4 linked regions of the Daphnia pulex genome follow. Each later gene encodes a partner of the first gene's protein in a complex. Links are inferred from orthologs where the notes say so. Each region holds a gene or a part of one and is shown on either strand. Other genes may lie near its edges.

Region 1 (3,497 bases):
AGTGATAGTATTTAACATTTGGAATCATGTTCATCTCTCTGCAGACTGCAGAGTGCAGACTACACTGTAATGTTTACAAATTTACACGTGACGCTGGAAAATGGTCAGGTTTAAGAATCGGTAAAAAAGAACATTTCATTTAAAAAACAAAGTGCATTGTCATTTATGTCTGTATGGCCCGTAAAAAATGAAATTTAATGGGATAAATTATATCGCAATTTACCCTACTGTTAAATGGGATCTTGTTTCAAGATTCAGCTCTTTGTTGCTATTTCATCTTTTATTCACATTTCAGATATTTAACTGCAGAAATTATACCAGGGGATTCGACTACACAGCCTCTAAATGTGAAAAAATATGATTTACTTGCATCAGTCCTTGATGTCACTGAACAGATCCATGGAGAGTTTGGAGCTGCAGCAATTAGAAATGGCTTAGAAAGTAAAAACACTTAACTTTGTACTAATATTGGTGTTCTTTAATGTGTTTTTTAATGACATCTAGTCAAGTACTGCAATGAAAACACACAAATAGCAATAATCAGATGTAGACATGGCCCACATAGACTGTTGGCCTCATCACTTCCATTCCTATCAACAGTTGGTAAAAGAAAAGTTCAACTTCAAAGTGTTTACACAGGAGCTACCATGGTGCGGTGCTTCAAATTTTTAAAGGTTACTTTTGGGTGTCAATTTTAAATTAGTTTGCATTATCATACTAATAAATCCTTTCATTCTAGAAATTTCATGAAGACAAGATAAATGAAGCTTTGAAAACCTGTAAAACAGAGCAAGAAAAAAAGAAAGTTATAGAAACCATGACCAAGGCCAATTTGGAATTCTGAAATATTTGTAATAAACTGTATTTCAACTATTTGTCTGAATTGTCAGTGTCTCATGTAGTAGTCTATTGCAGTAGAGAATGCTGCAAATCCTAGTGCCCCTACAATTCCAGGTTTAAGTCCAGCTCTAAGACCAATCAGTCCTCCAGTAATTCCACCAGCCTGCATTCAAAATAATTTAGAAATGGGTTTTTAAGATGAATCACTCAATTTCTTTCCACAAATTTCTCTTAAATAGGGAAACAAATTACATAGGTTCCGTTCTTCCAATCTGCTTTCCCGCGATACTAAAAATGAAATATGGAATTACGCCAAGTTTTACATTGTAAAGAAAACGTGTTTACTTACAGATTCAATGGTGCACTCAACTGCAGAAAACATAAGACCAACAAGAGCAAAATTTTTTGCATAGCTAAGTGTAGAAAACTTCAAATCTCTGAAGATTTCTTTGGCTGTCTGTTGAGGTGCATCAGGGGCGGTGATATTAGGACTCACACTGGCACTGAACAATCCCAATGCAGCCCCCAATCCATAACCTGAATAAAATTATTAAAACATTATAATCAAAAAATAAATGAGTTTGCCAAATTGTTCTTGGTAGTACCCATTACACTTGCTACAAGTGATTTAAAAGCACATGATTCAAAGGCTGCTTCTACGCGTTTCTCATCAATACTTTTGATGTGAATTGGACCGACTGTCCTGGGGATGATGATTTGTTCTCGATATTTACAGTTATTTCCGACAAAATATTTCATTAAGGAATCCATCTCGTAAGGAGAGAACCCAGCAGGAGAAGTTGTTGATTCGTCCATGGTCTGTCAAAAGTGGTTACGTTTTCCAGGCACCAGTTTGGATCAGTTTAGAAAGATGCACATTCACTTTGATCAAATTATCTGGATGAAGACAAATTTTAAAAATAACTTGTACAGGGTAAAATTGAGATTTGCTTCTTTTTAGAATATGTACGGAAGAGAAGACCATGAAGACGATCACAAATTCACAACAGTCGGCTTGAAACGTCGTCTGCTTTTTGAAAACTTGGTACAGCGTTGCATTGCATAAGACTCTTTTACGTCATCTTCCACGTCTGCTTGGCGCTTGCTGTGCCCTGTGCCTGTGTCTCCTTACCTGTCTGTCTATCCGGATTACTGATCGGCTGATCCGATAAAAGCGACAAGACGGACAATCTCATTTGAAACTCTTCGCCGATTTCTTTATGTTATCTACTTACTTTTAAGTTTAAACCATATTTGAAACTGAAAAGTAACGGCGGATAACATTAGACCAAATAAATCAAAGATGTTTCCTTAAACGATTTTTGCGTAGAGTAGAGGAAAATTTATAACAGGAAAAAAACATTTAATTTCTTTGTAATTCAATAGGAAGCAGAACCACGGAATGTTGAAACTGATCACCAAATAGCAAATAGAGACTTAGAGTAGGCTGATTAATTTTAAATTAGTAGTAAAATTCTTATAACTACATTTTCCAGTTGAAAGAATAATCTATGACATTTCTTACGCTTTAAAAACCAACAATCAAGGTTGAGTTATCGATCTTCATAGGATCTAGAAATTTTAAGCGTTGAGTTTTTCGTTGATAAAGGTTTCCAACTTGACGGCGTCGACCGCAAACTTACGGATGCTATAAAATAGAAATAAATTATTTTATGTTATATTTATTAGTTTGTTCCCTAATATTTTTAACCAAAATTTATCAGGAATTTTTATAATGCATCTAACAATAAACCACTGTTTGTGGAAACAATCCTTAACCAGTATTAACCAATCGTTATCTAACCCACAAAAAAGTATAAGGAAATCAGAATACCCGTCACTGAGCTTATCGGTGGCCATCTGATCTTCATTCAGCATCCAACGGAAAGCTTTCTCGTCCAAAGAAATGCGTTCGAGATCGCATGTTTTGGCTTGCTCTGCATCAAGTTGACGAGTGACGCTTGCGCTGCTAGCATCCAATTCTTCCAGCAACTTTGGGCTGATAGTTAATAGATCGCATCCAGCAAGAGCAGTTACCTCGCCTATCAAACAATTTGAAATTTAACTAGCGTCCACGTTTAATAAACAGAACTGTGTAGAAAATACCGGTGTTTCGGAAAGACGCCCCCATGACTACGGTCTTGTAACCAAACTTCTTGTAATAGTTGTAGATCTGAGTGACTGATTTAACTCCAGGATCGTCTTCGGGAGCATACGATTTAGTAGAAGTGTTGCTCACATACCTAGAGATAGAGAAATGAAGAATAAAAATGGTGCGCTTAAAAATGTCATTACTCATTAGTCTTTAAATTCCTTCTTACCAATCCAAAATGCGACCAACGAAAGGAGAGATCAGAGTAACACCAGCATCGGCGCACGCAACTGCCTGGCAGAAGCTAAACAGCAACGTCAAGTTGCAGTGAACATCGTGCTTTTCTTCAAGTTCCCTGCGTGACGGCAATTATTGAAAACAATTATCTCATAGGAAAAAAACGCGAAAACACTTTCAATCAATACTTTGCTGCTTGAATTCCTTCCCAGGTCGAGGCCAATTTAATGAGAACCCTTTCTTTCTCAATACCTTCTTCAGCGTACAACTCGATAAGCTTGAGAGCCTTCTTCACGCTTCCCTCTTTATCGAAAGAAAGTCTGTGGAC
Region 2 (3,939 bases), about 3.4 Mb from region 1:
TGGAAGTGGAAGCCATCCAGCACAAAACGACGCAAATCTTTCACAAAGTTTATTTCCCCGACGACACGGACGAGGTGAATACTCGGAATTTTCTTTTTTCCCCTCTCACTTTGAGTGTCAACAACATCGTTTCAATTTCATTGGGTTGTTTTATATTTTCTGTTCTCTTTTCAATGTTTTTATGCGCAATTCCAGGCCTTTGAAGTCGATTCTTCCACCAGAGCTAAAGACTTTTGCCAAAGCATCTCGCAGCGACTGGCACTCAAGTCGGACGAAGGTTTCAGTCTCTTTGTCAAGATTGCCGACAAGGTCATTTCGGTGCCCGAAGAAGACTTTTTCTTTGATTTCGTCCGCCACTTGACGGACTGGATCAAAAAGGCCAAACCGACCAAAGACGGTAACGTTCACATCGTCTACAATTTTATCGTTATCCCTTTTTCTTTATTATATGTTTATGGCCTGGACAGGTATCACGCCTCAATTCACCTACCAAGTGTTTTTCATGAAGAAACTGTGGACCAACACCGTGCCGGGCAAAGACCGCAACGCCGATACCATCTTCCATTTCCACCAAGAGTTGCCTAAACTGCTGAGAGGCTATCACCGCTGCAACAAGGACGAAGCCATCCGTCTGGCCGCTTTCATTTACCGCGTCCGCTTCGGCGAGAGCAAAGCCGAGCTGGCCAACGTGCCGCAAATGCTACGCGACCTGGTCCCGGCCGATCTGATCAAACTTTTAGGCAACAATGATTGGAAGAAAACTATCACGGCTGCTCACGCTCAAGATTCAGGTTTGACATTTGATTGAATGATTGACTTGATTCCATTTGGTGTTGACGCCACATCGTTTTGAATTGAACATTTTAGGAATGAGTGCCGAAGACGCCAAGATCAACTTTCTAAAGATTATTTACCGCTGGCCAACGTTTGGTTCGGCCTTCTTCGAAGTCAAACAAACGACCGAGCCCAATTTCCCCGAACAGCTTTTGATTGCCATCAACAAAAGCGGAGTCTGTCTGATCCATCCACAGACTAAGGTGAATATCGCACACCCGCCATTATCTTTCTTTTTTGAACTCGGAATTAACATTTGTTCGTGTTCTAGGACATTTTGGTGACTCACCCGTTCACGCGCATCTCCAACTGGTCTTCGGGCAACACTTACTTCCACATGACTATCGGCAACCTGGTGCGAGGATCGAAATTGCTGTGCGAAACCTCGCTCGGCTACAAGATGGACGACTTGCTCACCTCCTACATCTCCTTGATGTTGAATACCATGAACAAGCAAAAGTCCATGCGGCTCTAATAATTTGCTCGCTCTTATTCTTCACCATTTTATCCCATTCAAACGAGAACGTAAATGTTGGCTATCGAGATGAGCTTCGTTCCTTTGGTCAGTTTATAGATTGATTTTCCATCACGAGAATTAGCAACTTTGTGAATAGTTTCTGAATTTTGCGATATTTTGCCACTACCTAGTTTTCCGTGTTTTTTTTTGAATTATTTTTAATTGACACCGGGGTCATCTGCTTTTGACGGGGTCTACTATTGTCAATGCATGCTTCGCTAGCTCTCCTCAAAAGCAAGGAACGATCCCGTTTCCCCTTTGCAGTTTTCATCGCCCTCATAATCGTCTTTTAACAAATTTATGTATATGTTATTTGAAAAATGAAGAATTATAATAAAGCATTTTACACTCGAAATCAATAGATAAACAAGTAAATTAATTTTTAAATTTTTTTAAACAAAATACGGATATGTTGACGTTTCGGCTAATGTGGCAACCCGGTGAGCCATATGTTTTGCAGACGACATGAATTGTCAATTTGTGGAAAGTAATTCGAAATGGATGCACTCAGGAACGTAAGTTTTTAGAAAATGTATTTGAATTGTAATTAATGCCAGAAAGTTAATTGATCTCTTCTTCCTAGTTTAAAGATTTTCTCTTAGTGTTCAACAAAATGTCAGAAACTTGTTTCACGCGATGCGTGAACACATTTCAGACTAGAGAGCTGACTGAAGATGAGGTAGGCTAAGAACATGAGGTTTCTCTTTCATAACATATCAGACCAATAGTTATTTTTTTGTTTTTGCTTTTTTTTAGGATAAATGTGTTGAAATGTGCTCAACGAAGAACATTAGAGTCAACCATAAAATCATGTCTGTGTATATGGAAGTTCAACCTCTAATTGTGCAAAAGCGAGTGGAAGAGATGGAGAAACTTAACCCACCACAAGCAGTCGCAGAAACTATTCCTGAAGTTGCTGAAATTAACACAGTTGCACAGTCAGTCATAATAGCAGAAACTGAGCCTCAACATGTTTCACAAGAGACCTCATCTTTAGAGCCTCAAGTTGTGTAAAATAGTGACACATACCAACAGGACAGAAATGAATCAGTGTTATTGCATTGTGGTGTTACTAGGTTTGCCTGCCAGTGGAAAGAGCTGGTTAGCAGGAAGATTATGTAGTTTTTTAACAGAAAACAATTGCATTGTGAATTGTGCAACTTTTGATACTATTGTGAGTTTAGAAAAACAGGCTGAAATTGCTGTTTCGTCATCTAGTGAAATAACAAAGCATTACCGTCGCGAGATGAAAGACACTGTGGAGTCTTTCTTGAAAGTGCCCAATCCTTCTTCCAAAAAGTGTGTCGTAATTGTTGATGATAACAACTACTATCGAAGTATGCGGTATGAATATCATCAGTTAGCGGCCAAATTCTACACAGGCTACCTTCAAATTTATGTCAAATGCGAAGTGTCTGAAGCGTTACTCCAAAACAACAGTCGTCCGCAAAGCAGCCGTGTTCCTGACATTGTAATCACTCAAATGAACACCAAATTTGAAGATCCCTGTGAAGCGTGGGAAAATTCTTTGACGATTGGACACATTGATTTAAATGATACAGAAATATTGAACAAGATATGGAATTACATCCAGAATGCTGTGGATAGTCCTGTCTCAACATTGAAGACTCTAGAAGAAAAGAAGCTTGCGTCCGAGCAAAGCAAACTACGCAACGATCACAACATCTTTCACAATATCGACAAAGTTCTTAGAAAAAGATTAAACCAATGTATACGCGAACGTAAAGAAGAAAAAGACGCTCGTGTATTGGCAGCACAACTAAACGACACTCGACAATCTATTTTGGAAGGGATCAAAACAGGCGCCATTGCAATCCCGACAGACATTCTGAAGGCGGATGGATCCATCGATTTATCTATCCTTGAGGTTTGGTCCATTTCAGCTTTTATCCAGAGGTGTCCGTTATAACATGGACATGATTTGGTCATACTAGAATACAATTTGTTAAAAATAGCTGAAATAATAATAAACAACACAATAGAGATCACCTCTTCCTTTTTCTCTTGTTCCTGAGCAACAAGTTTTGAAAGAGCCATCTGAAATCTTTGCTTGAGGGCGGCGTTTTCAATTGTAGCTAGCTCGTTTTCTTGAGCTTGTCTCATGTTCTTGATCTCACGGATTTCATCCCTCAGTTTATCAGCCATTTTTTGCAAATCGTCTTAACGACAAATGATATTAATTTTTAAAGCAGAAAAACAAATTTGAAATGTTTACCTTTTTGTGTGTCGATGACCTTTTTTTGTGGAGATAGATTAGAAGAACTGCTGTCATCCCGAAACATATCTCCGCTAAATTGGGTTATCATAGAATTGGACCCCTAAAAAAGAGAATGTAACAACTATCGAAACAAATTTAATTATTTTAAATTTGGTACCCTGTTGCTTCCTGCATAGAACTCCGAACCCGATCCACGGGATTCGTCACTGTTTTCGTAGTCTGATTCCATAATGTTGATCTTGCTTCCATGTTCTTCATCTGAGTCGCTTAGTGCCTCACCAAAAATATCGTGTTCGGCTATAGATAACAGAAGTATGAAGCAATTTGAACGAGTGCTGAAAACCGTTGG
Region 3 (4,257 bases), on another chromosome or scaffold:
TTCATGCCTTTTCAATTGTGTCTCCATTAGTTGATAGATTGTTCCAACTTAAAAGAAGTGAACAGAAAGATGCAGTTCAACGGATTGCAGAAGTCAAATCAATTGAAAAACAACGCAAGCTTCTGGAACTTGTCATAACCAAAATCATGGAGGTTGTTAGACTAACATTTCAGAAAACGGAAAAAGGCTGTAATTAATTCAAGTTTTTGTAGGTTCTAACTCATAGTAGAATCAAGCTGGAAAGCTCTGGCTATCTTCCAGAATCTGATTTTCCTCAAGATGAATCTCTTCGTGATGGTATTATTTATTGGTTTTATTATTCTGAAATTATAGCTAATGATGATGAGGCATTTTAAAATAGCTCTGTCAAGCATGATAGAAAATACTGCATTTATGGGGGATCTTGTGCTCTATTTACCTGATGCAACAAAAGCGTTTCTTAAAAATAATGAATGGAATACCATATTCAAATGGAGTTTAAGTATTTGTCAACAGTCTGTCTTTTTGAGCACTGCAACAAAGAAAATGCTGCACTTGGTAAATTTCAATGTTTCTTTAATCAAACCATTCTAGTGTTATTCATCTTCTTAATGCTTGACATTTGAAAATATTGCAGGTTGCGCAAGAATTAAATTTGGTCGAACGAGAATCAAATTATTTTAATCCATACGCAGAGGCAAATCGAAAGAAACCAGATCCTTTACCCGAAAATGTCGAAAAGAAGAAAGTGAGAAAGAAAATATCTAAAGGTCCTTCTTTATCGGGATCAAGATTAAAAAATGAATTGTGAAAGCTATATAAATTGTTTTATTTTCTTATAAATACAATTTATCTACTGGTAGATGCGCTAAAAACTTTAATGGCGTCTGGTAAAACGGTGACTCGAATTGGTTTAACTTCGTAGTTGTCATTGTCTATCGAATACCACCTTTCTTCAACTTCAACACTTTTTCCCTCTTCAGTTGTTTCCTTTTCCGCTATCGAACTTTCTTCAATTTTAGGGATCATTTCAAATTGGCGTACGAGAATCTTTTCGCGATTATTTTGACTGGTCTCTGTTTTGGTCCTTAACCAACCCTCTTTCACGAACTCAAATCCACTTATATTTTCAGGTCCTAAGTGAGAGAGTGAATTTTTTTTTTAATTATCACTCACAGGTTTCAGCTATTTAAAAGATGTTTTACCAAGATTGACTTCCAAATGTTTCGGTAGATTTGGAGGACTGAAATTTACATTGTTTTCGGTTAGAACTTGGAACTCTACGGATGAGAAATCCTTCTGATGCCATACCCCACATTCGGGATTAACAACTTTTGAATAATCTTTGACTTGTTTTGTATCTAGAGAAATTTGTAAATAATATGTTAAGATAACGTGAATGACCTGATAAAAGGAATACAATTACCTTTGACGGATCTAGTTCGTGGTATAAAAGCATGCCACCATCGAGAATTCTGTACTTGCGAACCAAATTTCAGCTCATTTGCATCTTGCAAATTGTTTCTCATACAGTTATTACAACCCTCACACGGTACGGTATAGTGAAACTGTGCATTGCACTCCCACGTGAGATTTTTGAAAGCTCCAAAGAAATAGGCGGCATATGACTTCAGTGGTCCCCACAACCAGTATTTCCCAATTCTTTCCTCGACATCTCGAAATGCTCCCCATTTCAGTTCACCAAGTGCGTAAACTGGTTTTCCAGTAGGATTTTCTGAATTTTCCAATATTTCTACCTTCATAACATCTACCTGTTTTTGAAAGTCTCTTATTATTGCCATAGTTGCTTCAGCCATGAGTTTGATTCTATCATCTGAAAAGAGACCAAGGGGTAATAGTAGAATCAATTAAAAGCTGCATTTTTAAACCATCAAAATATTGCATACCTTTATGTTCTTTAAAGATAGATTTTGCAATGTTATTGAGTTTTCCTACAGGGATGATACCTGGAGAAGAAACATATTTTCAAACAAAATGTTTAGGGAAATATATAATTCATTGTGATACCAATAGGAAATCGTTGGACTGCTAACCCACTATCATTCCTTCTCAGCAATCCAGTTACAGCTTCTGTTATGGCTCCATCTCCACCAGCAACAACTACTGCATCACAGTTATCCATCACTTCCATCAATCCCCTGGCTTCTCCAACAGATTCAGTTTTGACCACACTGACCTGGAATAGAGAATGAGAACTTATTAAGGTCAAACAAAAATAAATAATGAGACTCAAACCTTCATTCCAGAAAGATAAAGTAATGGAGCACAATAATCCTCAAATTCTGATTTGCCTTTCCTATACACATTTAAAATTAACTTTTAAAAACGTCAAAGTGATTTGAGAAAATATTAAGTGCAGCACCCTCCATTTGAAGCGGGATTCAACACTACAGTTATTTGGCGAGCAGGTAGTCCTATAGGAAGTGGAACATCCCCATAGCTTTTAGCTTCCTCACAATAAAGTCTCAACATCTCTTTAGTCCTGCACCAATGGGAGAAATATTTTAAGACATAATCATTGGTAAAATACATTTCACTTCTATGAGTACCTGAATTTTGTGACGCCATAGTTTACTCCATAAGAAACGAGGAGAAAACCAACGGTTGATTTCTTCCAATTATTTCGCAGGGTTTTGAAAATGCGAACGATCCTTGCCATGTTGAAGTTCAGGCGGTTCAGGTCTCGCCGTGTTTTGAAAATAACGTTCTGCAGACGACGTATTTTTCGACATCTATTGGTAAACGGATAAAGTGTTTCAATTTTTTCTTCCACAATCAACTCACAATCGCGCAGATATTCCCATATCATAAATAAATAAGGCAAAATATTGTCAGTCGATCAAAATGCAACGATATCAATATGTTTGCATACGTTTTCATGTGGATCTTGATCTCCAATGTCCGATCAAGTACCGTACGTTTTCTTTCTCTCGCTTTCTCTAATTAGGCCTACACAAACGGGTTTATTGGGAGTATTGGGGAATAAACTTTTCAAAATTCATCCACGCTACCTTTTTTCGATAACGCAAAAAAGTAGGATTATGGACGCCCCACCAGATGTTTTCCTTGGATTGGATTGGATTGGACCATGTGTTCACTAGTAACGCAAAATGAAAGTTTGTTGCCTTTTGAAAATTTGATTTACATACATTTTATTCAGATAGCAAAGTTTCTCTCATATTTGATATTTCAATATTGTACAAAAATAATTACGTATGTTTATCGTTAGATTTGCGTGCCCATTTTTTTATTTTAAAATTTAGCCACATTTTATTAATTATTCAATTACGAGATGTTTGTGTTGTTGTGGAAGCTTCCGCCGTTGATAATTTCATATTAATCCATCCGATATAAGCCGAAACTTCGGTGTAAACACCTTATTAAAAGATAGCGAAAAATCAACAAGATCATTCAATAAATTTATTGCAAAGTGTTGTAATTTACCGGGATAATCAGGTTGACCACAGCCTTTACCCCAAGACACAATACCAACAAGAGTTTTGTCACCCAACATGAGCTGTCCACCAGAATCTCCCTATATTTTTGTAAAATTTTGGTGTCATTATTTAATATCAGACTTAAATTAACTTATCAGAATTAAATTTTCTGCATATACCTGACACGAATCATAGCCTCCGGATGTATATCCAGCGCATAGCATGGAATCAACAATTAGCCCTGCACCATAAATTAAGCGGCAGTCTTCGTCGGATACCACAGGAACTGTCGTTTTTAGTAGCACATTAGATAAATTCCCTCCTTCCTGCATAAGCGAATTTATTTCAGCATCCTCGAGTTTAAATTATTCATGCGCTTAAAGTTCTCAAAAGAGATGAGCCTTAAATTAATGAATTTATTATTAAACGCGTACTTTTGTGGTTCCCCAACCTGCGACCGTAACGGCCGTGTCTGGATGAGTAAAGTAGCCGGATCTAGGAAGTTTAACTTGTTTCAAGTAAGAGTTGAATACGAAGGCTCCATTTAATCGAATTATTCCAATATCATTCCTCAGGTAATCTGGGTCATATTCTTCGTGAAGAACAAATTGGACTGCTCTCAGCTCTTGTTCATAACCACTAACGAGATCTAACCTGTGTTCGCCAGCAACCGCCCAAACTCCAATTGGATGAAGCCTATATAGTACGTGAATCTTGCGGTTATTATCATTCAAACTTTCTCTTGGTGAAATTTAAAACGTATTGCTTATACTCTTCTAAACAATGAGCCGCAGTGATGATACTGCTCGCATCTGCTATC
Region 4 (2,939 bases), on another chromosome or scaffold:
CTCGCGGAATGTATTATTCGGCGATGATCCAGTTGGATTGAAATCTCTAAATGTCAAAGGCCTTCCAGACGTGCTCTTATTGTTGGAAACAAAATTATTTTTTAAAATTGAAAATTAGTTACGTTTTATAAGGACTCTATCCAACTCACCGGAATTGAGCAAACAACAAGAAGAAGAATTACAGGTAGCAACAAGGGGTATGCTCCAACCATTCCAAAGGCATGATTACTTGACTGCTAATAAGTAAACACTTGAAATTATTTATTCCGAACGCCATAGACCACCTCTTTCGAATGCAAGGACTGTTTCAGCACCAAGGACGGTCGATACAAGACGACGCTTTTTTCTTTTTGTGTTTCCGGTGATGAAATAAAACACACCCCTCGCCGAATCCCGTTGCAAACCAACAAGTTCCGAATGAAATATATTAAGTTTCCTTCTATTTTTGCTTTGAGAAAGGATACTGCTGGCATTCCGGTGTAGAAAGTTTTGAGGTGTTTCTTTTGTACAAGATGAATACAGAAAGGGATATGCGTTTCCCATTGATTCTATCTATCTTGTACCGTAAATAATGACAACCATACTCGACTAGCCTCAAGTGAACGACCTCTACTCGACAAATTTTTCCTCAAATCACAACGGCAATGAGAATAGTACAACACCCTGTATTGGGTCACATGGACACATATGTTAAGTACCGTGTTAACAACGCAACAGGAAGAACCGTCAGAACTGGTGTGAAAAGGAGAATCCCTCATAGTTTGAATGGATTAAATGTTTATTGAAAACCTACATACACACATTAGATTTGATTTACTTTTTAGCCATTGCCAATGCATTTTCATTAGATAGGACTTGAAACTCTTGAAAACACTGAGATATCCTTTGGTTAGCCTTCAGGAACTTTTCAGCACAATTAACTGCACAGGAATTCTGAAACAAAAACAATAATAATTACCTTGCAAATAATACAAAATTCTGGTTTTTTACTTCTTGGTCTTTGATGGTCCTCGAAGTGAAGTCCCACACACAGTCCACAAAGCATAGCTCAGAAAGTTTGTTGTAGGAGAAGAGAAAATCTCGGAACTGTACAAAGGGTAAGAAAAAAAGTTATGCAAATTTAATCCATACGTCACAGTCGTTCGAAGAAAGACCAATATAATATGCACGTAAGAAAATATCTCCAGTTGAAGCAACGTGACTTGATCATTTAGCAAATGTAAAAAAATGACTTGCAATCAACAGATTTGAGAACAAGAAAACAATCGTTATTTCCACTTATACAAATAGACAAAAATAATAGCCGAATAAGTTACCGATTTGATTTGTTCCGCCTCAATTTTAGCGGCGTCAATTGCTTCGGAAGTCATTTTAGATTTTAGAAAAGTGTGAAAGCAGACGACATTTTCCTCGTGTGATTTCAGACACTAGCTGCCACCTGGCGTAGGAAGCAAGAACTCATTGGTGACTTCAGTGTTTACATCAGTTTTGAACAGTCGACGCACTCAACGGTCGCCAAGGCAGCTTGGCTTTGAAAAACACTAATAAAACCTTGTCGTCAGTTCGATTCACTGTGCTTCGTGAGTGTGTTTCGCGGGTGAATTCAAGATCTTTTCGTTGCGTGTGAGTGAATTCGTGGTGCCGGCAGCGTGAGGTAAGATCATTTCGATCATTTTTATGACGATAGATAGATGCAAGAGGAAAAAGTGGCCCCGGGGCTTCATTGATGATTCTACCCCATAAGTTGTTGCCAGACCTCCCATCATTCAAACAATTTTATTCCCTCGTGAGGTAGTCGACGAGAGTTGCATGCTAATAAGCAATGTCGTAAAATTGTAACCATTGTTTTATTTCTTTTTGGAAAATGAGATGCAGAAGAAGAAGAGAGGTCATACCTGGGTCTTTGTCTGACTTCCAGATGTGCTTGGAATTTTAAAAATAACTTATTATATATCTTTTTCCTTCTTTTGTTTTTAAGGAAAAACTTTTGGAGGTGTTGAAGATCTCCTCGTGACGTCCGGGATCCACTCAAGATTCCGCACGCAGGTAGGACAATCTATAAACCTGAGAACGTTCAGACATGGTGCACCTTGTTTTTTGTTTTAATAAGTCTTCGCGTGATGTGTCACAAGGACCGTATTATAGTTACGTCACCGTACAAGTTGTGAATTTCAATCAAGGTCTTTTTCGGAATTTTGAACTGCTTTCAGCCGAAATGAGGACAATTAAAATTTGACGGGTCGCGTCATTTCTTTTAAAAAAGAAAATGTTTTGATCAAACGTCGATATTGTTTTTAATTCAATTTTTGTATTATATTGTGTCAAATTGCCGTAAAGTCAGAAATCGTGACGACTTCCTGGTGAGATGGACGGTGCGATTCTTTTGAATTGTTTCCCTTTCGAATGGGCAAGCCGCAAGATGGCGTCACGGTTCCTTTCACCGTAGCCTTGAGAGTTTTCCACACGAAAACAACAACAACAAATGGGACTTTAGTGGCCCAATGCCGTAAGGCTCTCGATTGTAAGGCCCTTTTTTTTTATTCCTCGATTGTGTGTGCGACTGGAAGAAGAAAAAATTCACGCTCCAAGGGAAGTTGTTTCGTTTTTATCGGTTTATTCTTTAGCTTGTATTATATTCCCCTCTTGTTGCGGTAAGCCCGTTGTGGCCGTTTCTTTTCTTTCCCGCTAGGCGGATGTGACGTCATGGCCCAGAGCTTGGCACAGCCAACAACAGTTGGTCTTGTGCTCTCTTTATTAACGTTGTACTAATCCATGGACCTTTCCTACAGGCCACGAAAGTTTTTCTCACACAACTTTCTTCCATTGGCGGAACGGTTGAACGACCTCATGCGACCTCTTTTGACTCTTGACCTGGGGAAATCTCTGTCTGCTGGAGATTTTCCATCCGTCTCAAGAGTTCAAGGTCAAGGTCAAACTGA

The links.
Region 2: mitochondrial import inner membrane translocase subunit Tim22-like (region 1) and mitochondrial import inner membrane translocase subunit Tim10 B-like share a complex: the UniProt entries of both Homo sapiens proteins name them as parts of the TIM22 complex. The link is inferred for Daphnia pulex from reciprocal best matches to the Homo sapiens genes TIMM22 and TIMM10B.
Region 3: mitochondrial import inner membrane translocase subunit Tim22-like (region 1) and acylglycerol kinase, mitochondrial-like share a complex: the UniProt entries of both Homo sapiens proteins name them as parts of the TIM22 complex. The link is inferred for Daphnia pulex from reciprocal best matches to the Homo sapiens genes TIMM22 and AGK.
Region 4: the proteins of mitochondrial import inner membrane translocase subunit Tim22-like (region 1) and mitochondrial import inner membrane translocase subunit Tim9-like are in contact, whole or in part, in a cryo-EM structure (PDB 7CGP), measured with the Homo sapiens proteins. The link is inferred for Daphnia pulex from reciprocal best matches to the Homo sapiens genes TIMM22 and TIMM9. Residues at the interface, in NP_037469.2 of Homo sapiens: Asp35, Arg37, Gln38, Pro39, Arg40, Leu42, Gly45, Ser46, Leu47, Gly49, Ile50, Ser52, Pro53, Lys60; in NP_001291414.1 of Homo sapiens: Gln13, Glu16, Phe17, Thr20, Leu57, Thr60, Gln61, Met65, Phe67, His71, Gln74, Asn75, Leu78, Lys81.

What each region holds. Positions count from the first base shown.
Region 1 is NC_060022.1:5,354,540-5,358,036, forward strand, and holds mitochondrial import inner membrane translocase subunit Tim22-like, read right to left. Parts: upstream 2,096-3,497; 5' UTR 1,657-2,095; coding exon 1,446-1,656; intron 1,378-1,445; coding exon 1,190-1,377; intron 1,129-1,189; coding exon 1,093-1,128; intron 1,004-1,092; coding exon 887-1,003; 3' UTR 847-886; downstream 1-846. Other genes in the region: ribonuclease P/MRP protein subunit POP5-like, read left to right, coding at 101-120, 296-441, 505-674, 740-844; transaldolase-like, read right to left, coding at 2,422-2,488, 2,675-2,882, 2,947-3,083, 3,162-3,287, 3,358-3,489. UniProt on the Homo sapiens protein: Essential core component of the TIM22 complex, a complex that mediates the import and insertion of multi-pass transmembrane proteins into the mitochondrial inner membrane. In the TIM22 complex, it constitutes the voltage-activated and signal-gated channel.
Region 2 is NC_060022.1:1,979,268-1,983,206, forward strand, and holds mitochondrial import inner membrane translocase subunit Tim10 B-like, read left to right. Parts: upstream 1-1,757; 5' UTR 1,758-1,848; coding exon 1,849-1,866; intron 1,867-1,934; coding exon 1,935-2,030; intron 2,031-2,107; coding exon 2,108-2,365; 3' UTR 2,366-2,393; coding exon of another isoform or gene 2,394-3,302; 3' UTR 3,303-3,360; downstream 3,361-3,939. Other genes in the region: myosin-VIIa-like, read left to right, coding at 1-74, 196-397, 468-791, 868-1,037, 1,106-1,309; L-seryl-tRNA(Sec) kinase-like, read left to right, coding at 2,394-3,281; transcription initiation factor TFIID subunit 7-like, read right to left, coding at 3,276-3,302, 3,362-3,531, 3,588-3,690, 3,748-3,887. UniProt on the Homo sapiens protein: Component of the TIM22 complex, a complex that mediates the import and insertion of multi-pass transmembrane proteins into the mitochondrial inner membrane.
Region 3 is NC_060017.1:2,650,845-2,655,101, forward strand, and holds acylglycerol kinase, mitochondrial-like, read right to left. Parts: upstream 2,896-4,257; 5' UTR 2,881-2,895; coding exon 2,873-2,880; intron 2,733-2,872; coding exon 2,550-2,732; intron 2,483-2,549; coding exon 2,363-2,482; intron 2,297-2,362; coding exon 2,236-2,296; intron 2,177-2,235; coding exon 2,008-2,176; intron 1,947-2,007; coding exon 1,887-1,946; intron 1,814-1,886; coding exon 1,406-1,813; intron 1,341-1,405; coding exon 1,185-1,340; intron 1,116-1,184; coding exon 829-1,115; 3' UTR 791-828; downstream 1-790. Other genes in the region: coiled-coil domain-containing protein 134-like, read left to right, coding at 31-152, 213-297, 362-537, 617-790; trypsin-1-like, read right to left, coding at 3,282-3,376, 3,445-3,535, 3,617-3,763, 3,872-4,133, 4,210-4,257. UniProt on the Homo sapiens protein: Lipid kinase that can phosphorylate both monoacylglycerol and diacylglycerol to form lysophosphatidic acid (LPA) and phosphatidic acid (PA), respectively. Does not phosphorylate sphingosine. Phosphorylates ceramide.
Region 4 is NC_060017.1:2,955,282-2,958,220, reverse strand, and holds mitochondrial import inner membrane translocase subunit Tim9-like, read right to left. Parts: upstream 1,472-2,939; 5' UTR 1,371-1,471; coding exon 1,317-1,370; intron 1,087-1,316; coding exon 991-1,086; intron 934-990; coding exon 814-933; 3' UTR 761-813; downstream 1-760. UniProt on the Homo sapiens protein: Mitochondrial intermembrane chaperone that participates in the import and insertion of multi-pass transmembrane proteins into the mitochondrial inner membrane.